Linked DNA regions of Cricetulus griseus. The protein of the gene in region 1 interacts with the protein of each later gene in a pairwise test. Links are inferred from orthologs where the notes say so. Each region holds a gene or a part of one and is shown on either strand. Other genes may lie near its edges.

Evidence for each region.
Region 2: the proteins of Ctnnd1 (region 1) and Zbtb33 interact in binary tests that used the Homo sapiens proteins (3 or more experiments, as listed by UniProt). The link is inferred for Cricetulus griseus from reciprocal best matches to the Homo sapiens genes CTNND1 and ZBTB33.

What each region holds. Positions count from the first base shown.
Region 1 is NC_048599.1:90,880,158-90,883,913, reverse strand, and holds the start of Ctnnd1 (catenin delta-1), read right to left. Parts: upstream 2,575-3,756; 5' UTR 2,268-2,574; intron 1-2,267. UniProt on the Homo sapiens protein: Key regulator of cell-cell adhesion that associates with and regulates the cell adhesion properties of both C-, E- and N-cadherins, being critical for their surface stability.
Region 2 is NC_048604.1:28,860,935-28,863,677, reverse strand, and holds part of Zbtb33 (transcriptional regulator Kaiso), read left to right. Parts: coding exon 1-1,668; 3' UTR 1,669-2,743. UniProt on the Homo sapiens protein: Transcriptional regulator with bimodal DNA-binding specificity.

The DNA.
Region 1 (3,756 bases):
ATAAATCTCCAAGAGTCCCAATTTTAGACCAACACAGAACATGTTCTGACCCCTCTGGCTGTTCATACTGCAATCCTAAGAAAGGCACTGGAACTATAACCAGCCATGAGACGCCTCACACACACACCTGAAACAGACCACTACCTCACTCACATAACAAAGAAACTAAGCAAATTATATACAAAGCAAACAAGGAAAGAAAATCTGTACTATTCATACTCATCTGTCATCATTTTCACCCCAAAATCAAAATACAAAGCACAGCAAATAGTAATAATAGCAAAATAGAAGATTACTTATCTGTACCCTTTCCTATAATTCCTCAAAGAACCAGCAGAGGTGAAGTAAAAGATAAAAATCTTCCATCTTATCACCTCAAAAGGCTCTATATTAATTACACCGAAGGCCAAACAATGCTTTAATTTGTAAAAATAGTCCTGGCTTCTAATGCTGTTGAACCTAGCTACACAAAGCCCAGTTTCAAAGCCGGACCCAGATCACCACCAGTCATCCAGAACCTATTTTCAAACTGCCTTTGTACTCCTCCTTCAGACTCTCATCCCTCCCCCTAAAGGTTGAGCGAGAAACCGACACTCTGGCAGCAACAGACCAACCCTCCAAAGACCCCACCAAGAAACCTCCCGAGAAAAGCATTTCAAAGGAAAACTAAAGAACTGGAAATGAGAAATACGGTCCAACTGACTGTACACATTGTCTTCTTTCTTTCTTTTCAACTACTTCTTTTAATTCTGAAGTCTAGATGTCAAATCTTTTCCTGTAACCCTCACCTAAACTATATGAAAAGGGGAACAAAAGTTGTTTCCTCCATAAGCCACAAACCTCACAAGGACAAAATCATCTTGCAAGGAATGTCTTCACTGTAGAAAAAAATCAAGGAAGTATTCCAGTCTAAAAAGAATGGGGGCAGGGACTATGAAATCAGAAGATTCGTATCAATTTAAAGGTAATGAGCAGCTTACACATTAAGACTCATCTTGCTACAATTAGAGCAATATCTATACCAGCCCAAATTTCCATACTGAATCCCATTTTAAAAGAATACCATATTTTGCAGCTACTGATGAGTAGGCTATATAATTATCTGGGATCAGCACATTTGCAAGAACGTATGTACAAAAAGCAAAACCAAACAAATCTTAAGGCCAATTATAAAACATGAAGCAGTCATAGGCCTTTATCTCTAACAGATTCTAACTTAATGGTAAGTTAACCAACCAAACAAACAAAAGACAACTGTAAAAATCACCTTTCCACTGGCTTAGAAATAAAATTCCCTTTGTGCTTTCTCAAATGGGTTTGCAAACTCAAGTTTTCATTAAGTGGTTCCCTTTCGTCTGATCATTCACAACCTACAGCCCTTTTGGAAACCAAGAGGGCTGAAAAGACTCTCAGGTGTTCTGCCGCTTTCCTCTGGTCAACAGAAAGCATGGTTAGAATTCCTTACCCCTTAAAGCACCAACATTATCATATTTGCAGGTCTAACACACGACACCTTCACAAATCTCTGCCATCAAAAGTATTTTTAGGCTTAAAAACAAAAAAAGTGGTGGCAATTCAGTTAACATAGATCCATTTGTTTTTCAAGGCAAAGCAAAGGGGTTCCTACTAACAGGCTAGGCTCCCTCCCACCCACCTCACCTGGAAAAGTAAGGGATCCACCCAGGAAGAGCAGAGCTGAAAAGCATCTGGGCCGTTCGAACTCAGGAGGAAAAAAACAATGAATACTATTTAAGCTCTAAAGCTCCCTGCAACTTTCTACTGCCACAGATTCAAAGGTGAGGGGGCTGAAAGTTTTGAAACATGGTAAGAGCCATCTATACAACTTTCTCCTGACCAGGACAAATTCCTTTCCCAACCCACACACAACATGCCAAGAAAACAACTTTTTGAGCTCTGAAAACAGAAGTATGTTAGCTTAATTCAGAAAAATAAAATAAAATGAAATAAAAGTACACACAAAAATGTAATTTACACAACTTCTACCTCCCGGTTCTAAACCAGCTTCCGGTATTAGGTCCAGTACATTTACCTTTTCCTTAACATAAATAAAATACCAAAATACATCCAAAGCATTAAAAGTAGAAAAAATAACTGGCTAAAATTCACCGTCAGCTTTAACAGGCTCTCTTGCCTTTTTTTAAATTCCCTCCAGTTACCATTAAGACAAAAATTCTACTTGGGTTATCCTTTTCCCAACTAGTTATACACACATTTTTATAAAAGGAAAAAATGAAAAGAACACACACCTCAAATGTGGACTTCTAAAGCCAATCCTTTAAGACACAAACCCAAAGCTTCACCGGTGTGCTGTGAAAGACAATCCAGCGAGGTTCAGGCCACCTCTTCCTCTTCCTCTTTCAGGATCTTTCCTGCCTCTTTCCCTCTCCCTCCGTGTCTGTCTCTGTCTCCCTCCCGTCCTCCTGTTCTCTCTCTCTCTCTCTCTCTCTCTCTCTCTCTCTCTCTCTCTCTCTCTCTCTCTTTCCCCTCAGATCCAACACCTAAAATGGAAGTTGCACCCAGCCAAAGGCAAGGGAGCCTGGGTGGTGACAAACTGATCTGGCAGCCCTACCCTAGCTTTCCTAAGTGATGTCAGCCCCTGCGAGCTTCCAATAGGAGCCAGGCATAAATCAGGGAGCTGACCTTATCCAATAGGAAACTTTATTATAGGAAATTAAAAAAAAGAGAGAGAGAAAGACAAGGAAGTTTTAAATATATGTATTATATATATATTTATATTTAAAGCGGAGACTATACAATCTCCAAGGAATTACTGCAGAGCTCAGGGGGAGGTGGGAGGTGCTAGATAACAAAGCTTTTTTAGAACGGCACGCCTAAGCCTCAGTTCTCTTTGATGAGGGTCTTGCTCCCTTCCCCTACCTATCAGGGTGGGTAAACGGAAAAGAGCTTACTTTATTTGCCTGCTGCTGTTTGGTTTCTTGCTTTCTTCCCCAAAGCATTTCCCAATGGAAGCCAGGAAGGAAGGAGAGAGAAATCCCAGAAACAGGACTGTTGATTGGGATGGTAGGAAATATCTCAGGCAAACTCTCAATTTCATTGTTTTGATTTAATTGCATTAGCGTTTATGAGGAAAAATAAATGCTTAGGCTTGTTGCTAGCTTGTTAGCCTCTCTGCTTTAAACTAAAAGGAAGCAGAATCCACAGAGCTGTTGAGGAAAACCACTGTCTTTCCATAAAAGAAATGTGGGTTTGCCTGGTACAATAGACAGAATCTAGTAAACAAAAAGTTTAGAATAGATAAGAATATAGTTAAAATAATTAAGGGAATGCTATTTGTGAACTCAAAATTACCTGGCATTTTTATTTGACCTAAATAAAACATACAGGAATTTTCCTCTAGATTTGTTTAAGATTTAGGAGGGGAAGGGGTTTTGCTTATTGTTGCTTTGTTTTGTTTGAGACAAGGTCTCACTGGACCACTGGCTGGCCTCAAACTTAAAATCCCTCAGCCTCTGCCTTCTCAGTGATGGGAATGCTGGCATATTACCACTTGGTAAGACTAGTATCAGTTACTTACTAATTACTAAACAAAGATAATGAATTGGAAGGTTTCTCTTTATATTTTCTAAATTAAATGTGTGTATCTGTGTTTAAATATGTGCATAGGCATACATGTACTACAGCACTCATGTTCAGGTCTGAGAACAATTTACAGGAATCCCTTCTCTCCTTCTTCTGTATGGGTCCAGGGGATCAAACCTAGGTCATAAGGCTTGG
Region 2 (2,743 bases), on another chromosome or scaffold:
GGTACAGAACAAGATGGTACTGCTGAGACCTTACCTCCTGATTGTAGTGACAAAAACCTTGCCATCCAAAAATCAAAGGATGAAGTGCAAGATACCGGGGCTACTGTCATGCCCATTATAACAGAGTCTTTTTCATTATCTGCTGAAGATTATGAAATGAAAAAGATCATTGTTACTGACTCGGATGATGATGATGATGTCATTTTCTGCTCTGAGATTTTGCCTGAAAAGGAGAATTTGCCAAGTAACAACACAGTGACGCAGGTCCAGCCTACCCCAGCCCCTGTTGCTATTTCAGAAGTGACACCTTGTGCTAGCAATAACTCCCCCCCTTTAACAGACATCACACCTGCTCAGACACTTCCCACTCCTGTAAATCAGGCAACTCTTAGCCAACCACAACGAAGTGAAGAATTGCTGGTGTCTTCAGCTTCAACACATCTGACTCCTAACATTATTTTATTAAATCAGGCTCCACTTACCACAGCACCAAGTGTCAGCTCTTCACTTCCAAATCACATGTCCTCTTCCATCAATTTGCTTGTACAGAATCAGCCGACACCGATTAATTTACTTGTGCAGAATCAGCAGACACCAAACAATGCTGTTTTAACAGGAAACAAGGCCAATGAGGAAGAAGAGGAAGACATTATAGATGATGATGATGACACCATTAGCTCCAGTCCAGACTCAGCAGTCAGTAATACATCTTTGGTCCCACAGACGGGTACCTCCAAAAGTACCACTTTTGATGGATCGTTGACACAGAAGGTGCACACTCCTGTACTTGTTCAAGAGCAACCTTCCAAGTCTTTGAAAATTTCAGATATCATTACTAGAAACACGAAGGTTCCAGGCTTAGGACCAAAATATCTCACGGAGGGGCAGAAAATCATTACTTTAGATACAGCTACTGAAATTGAAGGCTTATCAACTGGTTGCAAGGTTTATGCAAATATAGGTGAAGATACTTATGACATAGTGATCCCTGTCAAAGATGACCCTGATGAAGGGGAGGCCAAACTTGAGAATGAGCTACCAAAAACATCTGGCAGTGAGCCATCAAACAAGCGCATGAAAGTAAAACATGATGATCACTATGAGTTAATAGTAGATGGAAGGGTCTATTATATCTGTATTGTATGCAAAAGGTCATATGTCTGTCTGACCAGCTTGCGAAGACATTTTAACATTCATTCTTGGGAGAAGAAGTATGCCTGCCGTTACTGTGATAAGGTATTTCCTCTTGCAGAGTATCGCACAAAGCATGAAATTCAACACACGGGGGAGCGAAGGTATCAGTGTTTAGCATGTGGCAAATCTTTCATCAACTATCAGTTTATGTCTTCACACATAAAGTCAGTTCACAGTCAAGATCCTTCTGGGGACTCAAAGCTTTATCGTTTGCATCCATGCAAGTCTTTGCAGATCAGACAGTATGCGTATCTTTCTGATCGATCGAGTGCTGTGCCTGTCATGAAGGATGATGCAATTGGGTATAAGGTTGGTGCTGGAAAAGAGCCTCCAGTAGGGACCACATCTACTCCTCAAAACAAGGCAATGAACTGGGAAGAGATTTTTATTCAGCAGGAAAATGATTCCATGTTTAAACAGAATGTAACAGATGGCAGTACTGAGTTTGAATTTATAATACCAGAATCTTACTGACCTCCTTTGAAATATCAAAGTTTGAGTTGGATTAAGGGGCAGGGATTTCAGAAGACGTGTGAAGCAAATTAAGGTGGAAACTTGTTCATTTGATCTCCCATGTCATCTGAAAGTAGTTTAGTTGCATTGTTAATTTTTAGAAACATTTTTTTCTAAAAGTTGGAGTAGAGATTGAACACCCCCTGAAGTATCTGTATAGTCTAGCTTTCAGCTCATTTAAAAGATGTAACTTTTTAAAGGTACAGAGAGATAGTTTTCTGAATAGAATTTGAAGCAGTCTAAATGTTCTTTGAGAATTACTAATATACCCTAGTACAGCTTATACTGTTCCCCCTTCCATATTAGCACTTTACTGCTGAATTTTCAATTTTCTTAATGTTAAGCCTAAGTGTGTAATGTCTTGTATACAGCATAAAAGTTAGTGAACTTCCAAAACTTGTTCTAGTGAATTTCAGAGTAAGTCCTAACTTGGTGGTTTGTTCTGTCGGTCCAAATGGAGATCAGCCTCCTGCCTCCCTCCCAGTATAAAATAGCCATGCAAACACGTATCTCCTATGAAGGATGAGTTAGTTCTAGCTAAGTGGGATTAACCATTGCTTTCATTGCCATAGTCTGTAAGAGATTTTTGAGGACAAGGCCACTGTATACCCCCCCTTTTTTTGGTTTTTTTTGAGACCAGGTTTCTCTGTATAGCTTTGGAGGCTATATCTTGGAACTGTCTCAGTAGACCAGGCTGGCCTCGAACTCACAGAGATCTGCTTGCCTCTGCCTCCCCAGTGCTGGGATTAAAGGCCTGTGTCACCCCACCCAGCTGCCCCTGTATACCTTCAAAACGACAAGAGTCGTTTTGAGCAAAAAAACAAAAAATGACCTAGCAGGCATGCTTGTAGTGAAAACAGGAGGTAATGCAACAGGAGGTAATGCAAAGTTCTTTTGTGCTTATCTTTAATCTTCTGCTTTTTATGTGGAGATTTTTGAAAATTATGGTTAAAAGTGTTCCCATGAAATGTAAATTTACTATCTGAAAGCCACCAAATGCATCTTTTATTGTACTGGTAAATGTTGAGATTCCATA